4 separate regions of the Mus musculus genome follow, and all the other regions are reported to be linked to region 1. Evidence: microRNA targets listed by miRTarBase, many of them from high-throughput screens and not tested one by one. Region 1 holds a microRNA gene; each other region holds the end of a gene's coding sequence. Distances are from middle to middle.

Region 1 (4,620 bases):
AGGCTGATCCCTAGGTCATTTTGAAGTTATTCAGGAATTTGAACTGCTGATCCAAAAGGCAAGCGTTTTACCTGGTAAGTTAACTGAGACATAGCTCTGGCCATTCCTGTGAGTGAGTGTGTGTGCATGCGTGTATATGCATATTCATATAGAGAAGTGTATGTGCACAAAGCTATACACACATGCACATTCTTTATGGTCATCACATGAATAGCATGCTGATCTCTAACTCATCATGAAGTTAAACATGAATTTGAACTCTTGATCCACCTGACTCTGTGGTGTGAGACCTCTCCCTATTGAGTACTGCAGAATCTCTAAAACTCTAAGTCACATATCATTCAAATGGACTGAGGAGTGGCATGCGTGTGTGTGTCTGTGTCTGTGGATGGGTCTATGTGTGTGTAGGTATGTATATTCATATACACAATCCACACACAGTTACACACATATACACATACATGGGGACATCACATGATTCCCAGGCAGATCTCTAAGTCATCATGAAATAAAGCATGAATTTGAACTCCTGACCTCCTGATTCTAACAAGCATTTTTAACATGATGGGTGATAACTCTCCCTGACCTAGTCACACATAATCTCCAAAGCTCACAGTCACATAGATCAATGAGTGAGTGCCATTCCTGTGTGCCTGTGTGCTCATATGTGTCTTATGTGTGCGTGTATGTATATGGATATCATATTCACATATGTACATGTACACACACATAAACACATATACACATACATAGGGGCAATCACATGAATGCCAGGATGACCTCTAACTCATCATGCCTTTACCATGAACTTGCACTCCTGATCTTCCCGACTCTACCAAGGGTTTTCCCGTGGTTTGTGAGACCTCACCCTGGCCCAGTCATACATAACCTCCAAAGCAGTAGGTCACATATCATTCAAATGGATCCGTGAGGGCCATTCCCGCATGTCTGTGTGCATGTGTGTGTAGGTGTGTGTATGTATATGCATAAAATATACACGCATATACATGCGCGCACTTATGCACACAGGCACATACATAGGGGCCATCACATTATTCCAGGATGATCTCTAACTGCTCATGAAGTTAAGCATGAAATTGAACTCCTGATCCTCCTGACAATGCCAATTGTTTACACCTTGTGAGTGAGACCATTCACTGTCCTTCTACTGCATAATCAGTAACATTCTAAGACATATATCATTCAAATGGATCGATGAATGCCATACCTTGGTGTGTGTGTGCTTGCTTTTATACGTGTGTGTGTGTGTGTGTGTGTTATGTATAATCATATACACACATGTACATGCACACAAAATTATGTGTGCATGTACATACCTAGGGTCCATCACACGAATCCAGGATGATCACTAACTGATCATTAAGTTAAGCATGATTCTGAACTCCAAGACTTCTGATTCTGGCAAGCGGTTTTCATCTAGTTGGCGAGATATTTCACTGTACCATAAATATACACTCTATGAAATTCTAAGCACATATAAAACTTATGGATGACTGCCATGTGTTTCTGTATGCATGCATGTGTGAATATGTGTCAATATATGTCTTTTCATATATCCGCATGTACAGACAAACTTATCTATACACATACACAGAAACAATCACATGAATAACAGGCTGATCTGTAACTCATCAGGAAGTTAAACATGAATTTGAACTCTGGGACCTCCTGACGCTGGCAAGAGCATCCACCTCCTAACTGAGACATAGCTCTGGCCCAGCACTGCATAAGCTCTAAAGCTCTGAGTCACATACCATTCCAAAGGATATATGAGTGCCATTCCTGTGTCTGCATGTGTGTATATGCATATTCACATAGAGAAGTGAATATGCACACAACTACACACACATGCACATTTTGGTGTGCATCAATGAAACACATGCTGATCTCTAATGCATCATGAAGTTAAACATAAACTTGAACACCATATTCTCCTGACTCTAGCAAGATTATTCACCTCCTACCTAAGAAATAACTCTGGCCATTCCTATGAATGTGTGTGCATGTGTGCATATGCATATTCATATAGAGAAATGAATATGCACACAACTATACACACATGCACATTCTTGGTGGGCATCACATGAATCCCGTGCTGATTTCCAACTCATCATGAAATTCAGCACAAATTTGAACTCCTGATCCACCTGACTCTGGCAAGGGATTTCACCTGCTGAGTGAGACCTCTCCCTATTCAGTACTGAGGAATCTTAAAACTCTAAGTCACATATCATTCAAATGGACTGAGGAGTGGCATTCATATGTGTGTCTGTGTATGGGTCTACGTGTGTGTAGGTATGTATATTCATGTACACAAATCCACACACAGTTACACACATATACACATACATGGGGGCATCACATGATTCCCAGGCAGATCTCTAAGTCATCATGAAATAAAGCATGAATTTGACCTCCTGACCTCCTGATTTAAACAAGCATTTTTAATATGATGGGTGATAACTCTCCCTGATCTAGTCATACATAATCTCCAAAGCTCACAGTCACATAGATCGATGAGTGAGTGCCATTCCTGTGTGTCTGTGTGCTCATATGTGTCTTATGTGTGCGTGTATGTATATATCATCATATTCACACATGTACATGTACACACACATAAACACATATACACATACATAGGGGCAATCACATGAATGCCAGGATGACCTCTAACTCATCATGCCTTTACCATGAACTTGCACTCCTGATCTTCCCGACTCTACCAAGGGTTTTCCCGTGGTTTGTGAGACCTCACTCTGGCCCAGTCATACATAACCTCCAAAGCAGTAGGTCACATATCATTCAAATGGATCCGTGAGGGCCATTCCCGCATGTCTGTGTGCATGTGTATATAGGTGTGTGTATGTATATGCATAAAATATACACACATATACATGCTCACACTTATGCACACAGGCACATACATAGGGACCATCACATTGCACCACTCTTTCATGAAGTTAAGCATGAAATTAAACACCTGATCCTCTTGACACTGTCAATTTTTTACACCTGTTGAGTGAGACCATTCAGTGTCCTTCTACTTCATAATCAATAAAATTCAATGACATATATCATTCAAATTGATCAATGAGAGTCATACTTATGTGTGTGAGTATTCAAGTCTGTATGTGTGCATGCATGTGTATGTATATGTATAATTATATGCATACATGTACATTCACACAAAGTTACACACACATGCACATACCTAGGGTCCATCACATAAATCCAGTACGATTTCTAACTCATCATGAAGTTAAACATGAATTTGAACTCCAGATCCTCCTGACTCTGGCAAATGGTTTGCATCTGATTAATGAGATGTTTCCTGTCCCATGAATATGCACTCTATAAAACTCTAAGCACATATAAATCAAATGGATGATTGCCATGTGTATTTGTGTACACATGTATGTGTCCATATATGTGTATATATATGCATATACATATACCCACATGTACAAGCACACTTACCTATAGACATATACACGTACACAGAGGCAAAAACATAAATTACAGCCTTATCTATAACTCATCATGAAGTTAAACATTAATTTGAACTTCATATCCTCCTGACTCTGGCAAGAGTATTCACCTCCTAACTGAGGCATAGCTCTGGACCAGTACTGCATAAGCTCTAAATCTCTGAGTCACATAACATTCAAAAAAATATATGAGTGACATTCGTGTATGTGCATGAGTATATATGCATATTCATGTATAAAAGTGAATATGCACACAACTATACTCACATGCACATATTTGGAGGACATCACACGAATCGCATGCTGATCTCTAACTCAATGTGAGTTAAACATGAATTTGAACTCGTCATCCTCCTGACTCTGGCAAGAGTGCTCACCTCCTAACTGAGACATAGCTCTGGCCATTCCTATGAATGTGTGTGCATGCGTGTATATGCATATTCATATACAGAAGTGAATATGCACACAACTATACACACTTGCACATTTTTGGTGGGCATAAGATGAATCCCATGCTAATCATGAACTCATCATGAAATTCAGCACGAATTTGAACTCCTGATCCAACTGACACTGTCAAGGGATTTCACCTGCTGAGTGAGACCTCTCCCCATTCAGTACTGAGGAATCTTAAAACTCTAAATCACATATCATTCAAATGGATCGATGAGTTGCACTGATGTTTGTGTGTGTGTTTCTGTTTGTGTCTGTGTACATGTATATATTTGTGTAGATAGGTACATCCATATACTCAAATCCACACACAATAGAAACAGATACAGATAGAGATACATAGGGGGCATCACATGAATCCCAGGCATATCTCTAAGTCATCATGAAGTAAAGCATGAATTAGAACTCCTGATCCACAATCTTTCACACCTGGTGAGTAAAACCATTCACTGTCCCACTACTGCATAATCTTGAAAACTTTAAGTCACACATCATTCAAACGTATAAATGAATGCAATTTTTTCCTGTGTGTGTGTGTGCTTGCATATACACGTGTGTTTATGTTATATATAGCATGTCAACAGAGATAATGCACATACAAGTAAACACACATGCACATTCATGGGAGGCATCACATGAATACCAGGATGATCTCTAA
Region 2 (4,000 bases), not on the chromosome of region 1:
CTTCTGTACAAACCTTGATAAAACATGGACACCAGGCATATCTTTACCATTAGAGAAAAGCTAGATGCGCTGATCACTAATCCTAGTAGTAGAATCAGTCCAAGGATAGAAGTCAGAATATACGAGGGCTACAGTGGTATTATTTATAGTTGAAGAAAGTTAAGATCAGAATGATCAACACAAAGGAAGGGTTAAACTGTAACCATTCAAATAAAACCACACAAAATTCATGATGTGTTTTGATAGGGCACAGAAAACCTTGTGATATAATGAATTAGTTAATGAGATTATTCAGTTTATTCAACATGATCTGATTTGTGCAAGATTGCTGTACTGCAAATAAGTGTATAGGAATTTATGCAACTGCCTTAAATTGCCCAATTCAGAAGACAGTAGTTCACTGAAGATTGAAAAATCAACAGGGTATCTGCAGAGGTTGTTATGTGGGTGAGTAATGGACCTCTTCTCTCTTCCTCTCCCATCTCAAGTCTACGCTTGGCTACGTCGCCCTGCTCATCACGACCTTCCACGTGTTAATTTACGGATGGAAGCGTGCGTTTGCAGAAGAGTACTACCGCTTTTACACACCACCAAACTTCGTTCTTGCCCTCGTTTTGCCCTCCATTGTAATTCTGGGTAAGATGATATTACTCCTCCCATGCATAAGCCGAAAGCTAAAACGAATTAAAAAGGGCTGGGAAAAGAGCCAGTTTCTAGACGAAGGCATGGGAGGAGCGGTTCCTCATCTGTCCCCAGAGAGGGTCACAGTGATGTGATGACAAGAGGTGCTCGCAGAAGCCACACACACTTCCATCCATGCCATTACTTTAGGCCCTCGCCTTGGTCCCTGTCAGCGGGCTGTTGATTGGCAGTCCTGCAGTCTGAAACCTGCAGTAAGTTTTCAGCAGAAGGAGAGATTGGATTCTCTTCAAGTTAATTTTTATAAATGTCATATTTTTCCAACATGCAATTTTGTAGTCCACATCTATTGTTACAATCTAGAAATTTCCTTTGTGCAACTGTAACACTGTTGTTCTTTTAACCATATTGCATAGTTGGGCACAAATATTTGTACTTAATAATACAGATGAGATATAATGTTTAGAACACTTGGCAAAACAGCAGAATTAGAAGCTTTTAACATTACTCAGTGGACATGCTCTTTCCCCAAGGCTAAAGATTTTAATTACTATTCAATTTAAGGAGCAGAAATGCATAATCATATATTATTGAGAAGGGGCACATCACATTAGCATCTAGGGTATGCAGGAGCAATCTTATGCTCTCATAAAAATGGGACAGGAAGGATGTCATCCATTATACACAGCACTGTGAGTATGTGAGCACAAATTAAAGACAAATGAAAAATTGTATTGAATGTGCACTGGAGATACAACATACCAATGCATAACTCACGAGAGCTTTAGTCTCTATCACATTACAGAACCCTTCCATCTTCCTGTTTATGTCAATCGGGAAGGATCTAGCAACACTTGACCTCCCAAGCAGGTACTCTGAATACGGTATTGTGGGCCTGTCCTTAGTTACAATGAAAGTAATTGTCACACGTCAGTCTATATGTTACTTTGGCCAGTCACCACCCTTCCTGTGTGGATTTTATCGACATCCACTGAGGGAGTATGGAATGGTTGTAAACACTTGCCCAATTAATACTTACAACAAACCCATGAAATAGTTATCTTCATTTCCCATATGGAAAACTGAAGGACAGAAGAATTAAATTTTCCTGAGGTCACACAGTGAGCAGCCATCCTAGGGAGTCATTCGTCAGGACCCACGGCTTTATAAACATCAGTATACACAACCCCCGATCCATCTCCATGTACTACATTCTCGACGCCAGCCTTGATGGTTCCTTTCTGGTAGAGTCATTGGCAGTCTTTGGAGTATGTCGTGTGCATCAAAGGATATCTAAAAGTATCTCAGTCATAATTTTATTATTACTTGTGGGTAGTCCATAGTTGCCTGGAAACCCATAGTAGCACAAAGCCTCCCCATGCAGTGCAGACCGAGCAGGGAGAAGGCTCCTAACAGTGTGGATGAACTATTAAGATCCTGTAGCTCTTTAAAATTTTCCATAAGGTGGCCATGTCCTTTCTCCTCCTGAGAAGCCCCTCCCTTTACTGCTGTTCATTAGGAAACTGTTTTTAAGCACAAAGGATATTAGGACAAGTGGTTAATTATAAATCTATATGATTATGTGTCCCTGGACACATAATTAACAAAATTTGTCAGTGCTGGTCTTCCTTGTGTAAACTGCATTTTGTTCAAACATTAGGGTATATTACATTTTCTCCATTTGTTCCTTTTTTATTACAGTAAAAGTTCTAGACAAGATGTAATTGTGTGTATTCTTCCTAAAATTGTATCACCTCTAAAGTTACCTACTGACTTGAATCCAACCATCAGAAATAAAAGGACTCTTATTTTTGTGGAACCTATCTTTCCCACCATTGTCTGTTTTCCTATCCTTGTACTGCTGGCCTGGAAAATAGCCCACTACTCTTTGATGTTGTCTTCTTGGCCAAATGTAATATTGAACACCTCATCTTCATTATATTAATCATAATCAATTTTTGTAGGAATTCAGTACATTCATGACTTTTAACAGTAAATACCAACAAGCTGGGTGTGGTGGCTCATGCCTTTAGTCTCAGCACTCAGGAGGCAGATGCAGGCTGTTCTCTGTGAGTTAGAGATGAGCCTGGTCCACACTGTGAGTTCCAGGCCATCACCGCGAGACACTTTCTAAGTACATACATACATGCTTACATACATACATACACACATACATACATAAGTACAAAGCGAGACACTAAGTACATACATGCATACATACATACATATGCAGTGAGACACTGTATAGCACATACATACATACATACATACATACATACATACATACTTACATACCGGTACTGTCATGAACTAGTGAAAAATAGCAATGTGTTTTTAATACTTGCTTACTTCTTGAACTTTACTGTAAGGCAATTAAATGTGGAAATACAATGAAATATTTCTAAAAGTTAGATGATTAAAGTACATTGTTATGCATATGATAGGAAGCCTGTAATATAAAATTATTGCTAATATACATACATGGGACCTTTGAAAATATGAAATTATGTAAAAGCTATGAATTTAATTTCAAATGACACTTTTTCTTTGGAATGCTACCAAAACGGAATAGCTTTCGTTTTTAGAATAAATGTAATATAGTCCTTGCAATTCTAAGTGCTGAAAGGCCTGACCTCTGGGATGGAGAAGTCTGACCCCTGGGATGGATGTGGGGTCAGAGCACGGACTCGTTGTCCTCTGACAAGCACACTCATGGTCTCCTTCCTCCTTTTCTCTGTCTCTGTCTCTCTGTGTATCTCTCTCTGTCATACACACACACACACACACACACACACACACACACACACACACACACACGTCAATGAAATAGAATTTAAAGCTTTTAGGGGTGGAGAGAAGGTAGGGAGACTTTAAGGGAGTGAACATGTGTTTCCTGATGTTTGTCTTGAGTAGGACAAGAGACGAAATGATGGGAGTGTAGAAAACAGAACCCGTCTCAGTCCTCTGTAACGACAGCCAAATAATTTTTCCTGAGGGAAAAACCCATATAACATGTATCATGCTACTTAACTTTTGTGCAGATTTCTTCTCTCCTTTATTAAGAATATTTAAAACCACATTTAAATAATAAATGTATCCATCCATTTTAAGAAGATACACTGAAATTTAGCTCAGAGAATCTCCATGAGCTTTCTATTTAAAATTTTAAAACATTATAAAGTGTGAGTAAATTTTGATTATTTATCAGAGCTAATTATTTTGTACATTATAGAAGGTGCTGATGTGTCCATGTGTAACTGCTGGATTCTTATAAATAAGCATAACTTCAAGTTTGACTGAAGAATTTTACTTTCAAAATTAATTATTAATTTGATAAAAATATATTCCTACTTACAGTTAA
Region 3 (4,000 bases), 150 Mb from region 1:
AGCGGACCCCTCAAGGGGAGCAGAGCAGAAACATGTGGGCAGGCCTGCTATCCCCAGAACCTGGCCAGTCTGGGGACACTGAGGAAGTCAGGGGCACCCCCAAGCTCCCCGATCCCACCCTGGAGCGGCTCCTTGCCTCCCTCTTCTCCTGGCCCCACCTTCCCAAGCAGAGCAAGGCCTCCCGTCCAACTGGGGGAAGCTTTTCCTCAGAAGGGACAGGATCACAGACATCCCTGGAGGACTCACCCCACACAAGTCCTCCTGCGTCCCTCTAACTGGACCTGAACCACCACACCAGCTCTGGGGGGCTGTGACAGGATTGACAGAGGGATCTGCAGAGCCCATGCCACCTCATCAAACATGGCCATGGTGCAATGTTAGGACCGCCTTCTGGCTCCAGAAAGCTCCAAGACAATGGATTGTTACCCACACTGAACAGTGCGTGTGGGAATTAGAATCCAGACTCAATAAAAGGAGTTTTTTTTGTTTTTGTTTTTGTTTTTGTTTTATTGAGGGTTGAGACTGCAGAGTCTCATATGGCAAAGCTGGCCGGGGTTACCTTGTCAAGGAATTGTCCTTAGGCAGCCCAAACTGCCACTCACTTGGATAACAAAGTAGTGGGCAGGGCCTCTTGTCTTGAGCCCTAGATTAACAGACCCTAAAACAAGGACTTTGCATTTGGCAGTGACCCCAGGAGCCACCGGGAGGAGGATAGGCAGAGGGAGGGAATTTAAGAGCATTTGTCAGGCAAGTTCCATCCAGCTGAGGCCAATCAGGAGACAGCAAGGACAACAGCTGGACTCTTGAGACGCCCGTCTGAGGTGGAGCATCACAGCATGCATACTCCCAGGAGCTGACTCTGGTGGGCAAAGGGCAGCAACCTGGAGGGGAAGAAACTGATTGATGCAGAGTTCTCCCCAGGGACCAGGGTCCCCAGCTCAGACTCAAAGAACCACACCAAATCTTGTCCTTGCGATCCATCGACGCCCCAGGGAGTGTTACCTCATCTCCAATCCCACTTTCAGTGCCAGCTGTGCTGAATCATCAGGGGAAACGGTGGAGGGGGGGGGTAGTACAGTCTTTGAAAGCTGGTGAGGGTGGGTACAATGAACAAAGACTATTAGAGCTACAGCACCTAGCTTTTTACAGGGCTGCATAGCGCCCCCTAGCGCCACCTTTAAGCACTGACATGCTGGAACTATTCACAGGGCTCTAAATCCGGCTTCACTCCTGAGATGGCCTCCTGGCAGCCCCAGCTGACTTTCCAAGCCCTGAGAGAAGAGTAGGATAACTATTCTGCCACGAGTGAGGATGAGACAGGGACAGAGAAAGCCTGAACAATGCTTGGGAAGATGAGGTGCCTCAGGAGACATCTCAGCCCCAAACAGCTTCAAGAATCTTCTCTAAGACTGTGGATTTCTCTAAGCACAGCCTGAGGTCTGCCTGCTTCAGACCCACCAGTAAAACTGATTGTAAGGAAGGATGCCCAGGGACTGGCATCCCCTCTGTAGACACACTAAAACCAGGCTCTGAGCCTGGGGGAGGCTGGAGGCTGTACTGGGGCCACCTGCTCCGTGTTTTCTAGGTGGTTGCGGTCTAGTCTGCTGCTATCACAGATCGCCATGGGCTGTATGACTTACAAACAATGGAAGTTTTTTGGATTGACAGTTTTAGGGACTGGGAAGTCCAAGATTAAGGGGCTGCCTCTTGTGAGAACCACCTTCAGTGCAGGTGTCACCTGTAGATGGAGCTTATGTGAAGAGGGGGAAGGGCCAAACACATCCTTATGAGAAGCCCACTCCCACGTTAATCTTGAGGGAGGACAGCATGCACCCTTTTGACCTTTCCACCTCCATCTCTCAAGTTTCCAACACGTGAATTTCAGGGGACTCTGGAAACCTAGGGTGGTTCCCTCGGGAAGTTCTTGGGGCTCCAGACTCCAGGCAGCTCAGCTTAGCATTCCTCACCCAAGCCCTGCATCCAGAAGGCTGAGGATGCTCCAGGAATTTGATCAGCCATCTCCATCCAAGCCTGTCACCCCAGAGGGGGGCCTAAGGCTCTTAAGCCGTTGTTACCATAGCAACAGCATCCAGCCAGTGGAGACCACAGGCTTGGTGCAGGAAACCTGGGGAGAAAGAATGCAAACTGCCTTTAGCTAGACCCACAACCACTGCTGGGAATGAGGACAGGATGAGGGAGGGGGGAAGGATGGGTGAGCCTAGGATCGTTAGGTAGGAGGGGCCCCCAAGGTCTTGCACATTCTCCTGTTTCCAAAAAGGGTTGAACCTCAATTACTGACCTGCTCACAGCGGCTCCTCGGGAGAAGGGGCATAGACATAGAATATGGGGGAATGATATTCAAAAACAAAGGAGGGGCTGGGTAGATGGCTCAGTGGGTGAAGTGCTTGTGAAGTTCTTACTGTGCAAGCATCAGGTCGCCAGTGTGGCGTGGCAGTACATGCCTATCAGCCTGAGCAGTGGGATGGAGGAGACAGGCAGGGCCCCAGGCTCACTGGCCTGCCAGCCTAGCTGAATCAGTGAGCTCCAGGTTCCGTGAGAGACAGAGCAAGGTGGGGACGTCCACGTATGGCCTCCATGTGTACAGGCAATAGCTCTCAAGTGCACGTGCGTATACCCGCAAGAATTTAACAATAAAAAAAACGAGGAATCAGCTGGTGTCTCGGTTGCATCCAGCTTTGTGCTGAGATCCTTAAAAACTCTGCAAGTCTGCTCAGCTGACCGACTGCATCCCCACAGCCCTGTGGAGTCGGCATCAATTTCCTATCATTTTCCAGAGGAGGAAGCCAAGACTTCTTAGGGGCATAGGGATGTCTTCTCTGATGTGACAGCAAGTGACTGATGTGGACCTTACATGTGACACTGATCTGATTGCTGGGTGCCGGTGGCTGTGGGTTTGTCTCTTTTGTGTTCCTGTTGTCCTTGGCCATAAGCATGTGCTGGGAGTCCTGGTTCTCTGGGCTGTACTTACACCAGGACCTCTGGTGGAACAGGAGCAGACCTAGAGAATGGTTAACCATGAGGACCTGAGTTGAGTTGACTGCCCAGGCTGCATCAGTCACAGGCTGTGTGTCCTTAGCTAAATGAAGTACCTCTCTGTTTCTTGGTTTCCTTACTTGTAGATTGAAAATTGCAGGGCCTCAGAGGCTTGCTGGGAGTTGGCTTGTGGGAATTCCTCAGATAGACACTGGAACATAGTAACTGCTCACTAAATGGTAGCTAGATGCATAGCTTTGGCACCAGCCCCGCCAGCCCCTGTTATTGTTACCTGGAATATCCAGGAAGCACTCTCTTCAGAGCCCCAGCAAAATCCCCTACTGACTCCCCCAACTCTGTCTTTCCAAGTCATGTGGCTTCCTGTGTTTTCTGAATCCCCAGTAGGCTCTTGAAGACCACAGGGACTTAATTTATTGGCAAGGTGGAAACATGGCAAAGAGTTCCCATGCATGTGAAGTAGCCCCGTGGCCACAGCTTCAAATAGCAAAGCCTTGTCCCCAGAGGCTGCTCTGAGAGATGGAGGCTGTGGTGTTCCTCCATGGGACTTTAGGCAAAGGTTTATAGCCTGCTGTGGGGGAAGAAAAGTGGAGCTCATACAGACCCTTAAGTAGGCCAGCGATGTGACCAATTACCCCACTGTCTCGGGGCCCCTTTCCTGCCCGAGGAAACGGGAGGCTGGGGACAGCTGAAGGATCATAGCCTGAGATGTCAAAGCAACCCTGGGCAAATGGCTCCTTATCTCTGATAGCCAGACTCCCTTATTTATCAAATGGGTGCTCTGGATTGGATGGAAACCCTTTCCACCTTGGGAAACACAAAGCTGTGGCCTTGAACCCAGGCTCCCTAGCCTGGTGTTTTCAGTAGAAGGCTACTCTCCATATTCCCATCTATCAAATGGGTTGACAAGCCTGCTGGGTCAAGACACTGATATCTGGATCACCAAGCTCAGCACTAAGCCTTTCTGTGGTAGTAAAAAATTAATTGG
Region 4 (4,000 bases), not on the chromosome of region 1:
GCTCAAATGCATATCGTATACCACGCTAGCTTCTGCTGCCTTGTGTATGTTTGCATTTCACTCTCCCTTAGTGGATTACCAAGCTGATTTAGAGAAATAAAAAGTTGGTATCAGTTATCTGTCATTGAACAAATAATGATTTTTAAAAAAAATTTCCATGTTACCCTTTATCTTTCAGAGGAATCATGTTTTAAACTATAAATTGCATCCTGTGGAAGTTGGTGGAACTGATAACCCTGCCTTCAACCATGTTGAGCTGAACTTCACAGATCACAGTGGCAAGATCAATGGGACTCGCTTGTGAAGCATCTCCAGGGCTAGATGACATTGTATAATGTCTGTTTTGTTTTTGTTTTGCTTTTCTTTAAACATGTTTTAGGATAGTTGGATCAGATCAGTTTTTTCCTATCATGATTGTTTTTGGAAGATATATTTTATTAAAGCCAAATCCCGATTTGGCTCACTTTATACACTGGTTGATTGATGCTATCCTGGAGTTAGGAGTTTCAACACGAGCTCTGGTTGTGGATGTTTATAACTACATACATGTGTGAAAGGCAAATACAGACATACACACATGGTTCTTGATAATCAAAGGCATATTCTTACGTTTGGGCATTACTGAAAACATTTTACATGCCTTTGGTGCTAGTATATGTATATTCTGGGAACTTTACTAGAATAATAAATCTTGGAAAGAGATTTCTTTCCTCCCCCTGAATATCCTGTTTCTAGGCAGCAGGGACAGGAGGAGGAGTAGAGCACTTCTGTGGACTTTACTTCTGGATCAGCCCATGCTATAACCTTGCCTCTGAGTCTGCCTCTGAATGGGTAAATAGCAGCATCCTGCCTAGGATACACTAGGTACCCAACGATCAAGTTCATCTTTAATGCATTCTTGTGCCTGTTTTTCCTCTGCTGAGATTCCTGACAATTGCCAAGTACAGTGCTTTTCATAGACTATTGACTATAGATTATAGACCATTGACTGTAGACTATCAACTATCGACTATAATTTTTAATCTTTATTCCCAACTTCTGTTCTAATAACCTTGCTTTTGTAGAGCATGTTACCTGGACTTAACTGTTCCAGCTTCTTGCTTTTTGCCCTGGGTTTAGATATGTCTTGAGACATCCAATATAAACTATGTCACCTCTTTCCTTCAGTCCCCAGATCCCATCCTGTGCTAACACATGCTTCTTGTGTATTGGGTAACCCAAGAACATTAAATATTTGAAAACGGTGAAGTCCCATGGAGTCGCACAATTGCTTTTAATGCTGTTAAGTTGAATTACTAATTCATATAGTTAAAGAACTTCATAGGGAAATACTTCTTTATTTTTTCACATGTTTCAGGTTATTAAATGCATGCTTTTTTTCTATTTTCTAAGATTTCAAGCAGTAATTTCAAAGTTCTTAGCCATTTATTTGGCTACATTCATAGCTAAAACTTGTGTTACAGAGTTTCATCAATAACTTATTTTTCTATGATACCCACATTAGATATTGCTTAAATTTTTAAAAAGTTTTCAATATTTTAAGAAAAGAAATACTGATATTTTAAAAATAATTCATAATTTTATACATATTTTTGGTCTATTATATTTGAAGGCTATACTATTTACTTTTAAAGGCTCTTAACTGATAATAAAAACTAAAATATCAAAAATATTAGCATTTATCTGAAACAAAGAGATTTATATGCCATTTGAATCAACTATGTATTCATGTATTTCTTATGTATATAGATCTATTTATTGATTACTATATTTGTAAACAAAAATCAAGTTTTGTGATTATCTTGCAGTACTCTAATGAGCATGGTTATGTAATTTTATATATGTAATCTTATATAACTATGATTTGAAGTATAGTTATTTATTAGATGATTCTGAAAAAAAATATACATATACATACACACACACACACATACACATGATGCTTCAGTTTTGGCAATGAGAATCAGGTTATTTGATTAACTTTTTCTTTGATCTGACTGCACAAAGGTTACTCAACGTGTTCTTCATGAGAAGTGGTATTCCAAACGAGTTTGTCAACTTCCTGTAAGACAAAGTATATCCTTGTGAGATTTGGAAATACCACTGTCTTATTTTTACAAATGCACAGGAATGCCAGATAGAATTCTTAAAGTCAAAAGATGTTGCTATTACTTAAAAAGTATTTATTTTTAACTTTTAAAACATGGGACTAATATAAATATGAGGGATATGTCAGCATATTACAATGTAAAGTAAATAATCTTTTCTTAGTTTTATTAAAACACAAAAACCTTAATGGAAGAAAACAATTGTACAGGTTGTCTGTCAGTGTCTTGCTGCTGACAAGTATGCCTTTGACTTTGCCCTTAATTTCATTTAATGCTGATATAAGAATGAGGCTGCCCACCTCAAAAAAGTAGTGTGAAAGACCTGAGTTTTGACAGACCAGGATTTCATTAACTCAAGTGATTTGAGGCAAATATTATTTGCTAGGTTTTTTTTGAACTAAGAAGAATCTTTACTATCATGAAGTAAAAAAAACAAAACAAAACAAAAACAAAAACAAAACCCTTCCCTAAAAAATATGTGCCACAGGAGTAAAAATACATTTGAGAATCAACAGGAAAGACTATAAACCTTAAAGAAAGACATGATTCAGTCCTATTCATCCTACAGAGAGGTGAAAACTTTATAGGTCAGGTGTAAAACATCACAGAGTCATGTTATCAGTAAGTGGATTGTTTGCATGCTCTCTTTTTTTCTCTTGAGACCAGTAGTTACCAGCATGGGTCATTGTGTTTCTCTGGTGACATGTGGAGACATTTAAGTGTCCCCAATGAGATTGCTGGTGCCATGTATGGAATTAGGTTCAGGAAAGTACCATTAGCACTCTGGATAATGACCACACACTTTCAGAGGAGTCTGAAATGTGAACACATTTTCACAAGTCGTGGGTAATTATTTAGACCAGTCTTTGGCCAGCTCAGCTCCTTTACGTGGTTTCTAATATGGCCCCACATTAGGATGTTATGAAATACATGACTACTAAGATCTCTGAACTTCATCTTACTTATGGAAAGCACACGTCATGTGGTTTGTTTCATGAAATAAGCTGAACATATGATGTAGACACATTGGGTAGGGCTGAGCTTGAGAAACACTGAAGAACTCTGTGAACTGATTCCCTCTGAATCTTCCCATGAAGATTGTTGATAAGGAGGCAACCAAGGTAAAGGGCTGCGGTTCAGCGGTAAAACTCTTACTGAGCTTGTGCAAGATCCTAGGCTTCCTTCCCAGCATCACTGAGAACGGGGGCAACCTAGTGCATGTCCGTTTAGCTCTTAAAAACGCATTGGATGCATTTAGAGTCAACTTTTGTACCACTGTTTGTGAAAATATTGGGAAAGTTGAATATTTCTATGTAAAATATGGTTACAAACTTATTTTTTTTTCAATTTGCTGATTAAAATTTCCATAAAAATCATTGCAGTTATCTGTTCTTGGAGTAAGAATCTGATTGGATATAATGAGCATTATCAAAGGCATTTCCTGCCTATTTACTCCGTAAGGGACTCTCTTGAAGTAAATACTGTGTATACGTCATAAAATATGAAAGCAAACGGACTTGTACAACTTTGTCATCGAGGACCATTTTATATTTTAAATAACATTGTATGTGAAGGCAGAAATGCCGGGTTTGCATGCTGGCTGACTGTACCTCAAACAGCTGTGAATGAAAGCTTGGTTCACAGGGTCGAATTCCTGGGAGACGGCCGAGGCTGTGGGGAGCAGGGTCCAGTGCATGTCTTTAGATCATAAGCATTGATGCCCTCAGAAGTGATTGTTGTGTGTATGCCATCATCCTTACTTCTGTTTCTGATGTGTTAAAGCTCTGACCACTTGCTTCTCTCCCCGTCCCAGCTATGATGAGTCATTTTCGTCAGAGGCTGAAGCACACGGCCGCTTCAGCTATGCCTTGAACTTTGAGAACTATGAGCTC

Evidence for each region. The annotated mature microRNA mmu-miR-466p-5p reads UAUGUGUGUGUACAUGUACAU and lies in region 1 at 2,620-2,640, opposite strand. An mRNA with a match to its seed (bases 2 to 7 or 8) in the 3' UTR can be bound and repressed. Matches are read on the target gene's strand: a 7mer-m8 pairs with bases 2 to 8, a 7mer-A1 pairs with bases 2 to 7 and ends in A, and an 8mer does both.
Region 2: the mRNA of Steap2 is a reported target of mmu-miR-466p-5p. Seed matches in the 3' UTR shown: 7mer-A1 at 2,232-2,238 and 8mer at 2,805-2,812.
Region 3: miRTarBase lists D630003M21Rik as a target of mmu-miR-466p-5p. The part of its 3' UTR that is shown has no 7-base or 8-base seed match.
Region 4: the mRNA of Slc5a8 is a reported target of mmu-miR-466p-5p. Seed matches in the 3' UTR shown: 7mer-m8 at 573-579 and 8mer at 1,926-1,933.

Annotation. Positions count from the first base shown.
Region 1 is chr2:10,504,040-10,508,659 of GRCm38, reverse strand. Mir466p (microRNA 466p) reads right to left here and starts at 2,654; the gene lies at 2,566-2,654. All of the region lies in intron 10 of Sfmbt2 (Scm-like with four mbt domains 2), which reads right to left. It overlaps Mir467e (microRNA 467e), which reads right to left and starts at 2,939; the gene lies at 2,853-2,939. Mir467d (microRNA 467d) reads right to left here and starts at 1,030; the gene lies at 946-1,030. It also overlaps Mir466.
Region 2 is chr5:5,670,185-5,674,184 of GRCm38, reverse strand. It overlaps Steap2 (six transmembrane epithelial antigen of prostate 2), which reads left to right. Exons shown (of 6, transcript NM_001103156.2): 6 at 489-4,000. The coding sequence ends at 776. The region is part of intron 1 of Gm40262 (a long non-coding RNA gene); the gene reads right to left. Among named protein-coding and RNA genes, the nearest start is that of Gm40262, 7.8 kb to the right of the region's middle.
Region 3 is chr2:158,192,236-158,196,235 of GRCm38, reverse strand. D630003M21Rik (RIKEN cDNA D630003M21 gene) reads left to right here. Exons shown (of 14, transcript NM_177657.5): 14 at 1-488. The coding sequence ends at 275. 1700060C20Rik (RIKEN cDNA 1700060C20 gene) reads right to left here. Exons shown (of 3, transcript NR_036606.2): 2 at 1,968-2,125; 3 at 499-881. Among named protein-coding and RNA genes, the nearest start is that of 1700060C20Rik, 2.2 kb to the right of the region's middle.
Region 4 is chr10:88,926,032-88,930,031 of GRCm38, forward strand. Slc5a8 (solute carrier family 5 (iodide transporter), member 8) reads left to right here. Exons shown (of 15, transcript NM_145423.2): 15 at 179-3,484. The coding sequence ends at 304. Among named protein-coding and RNA genes, the nearest start is that of Slc5a8, 42 kb to the left of the region's middle.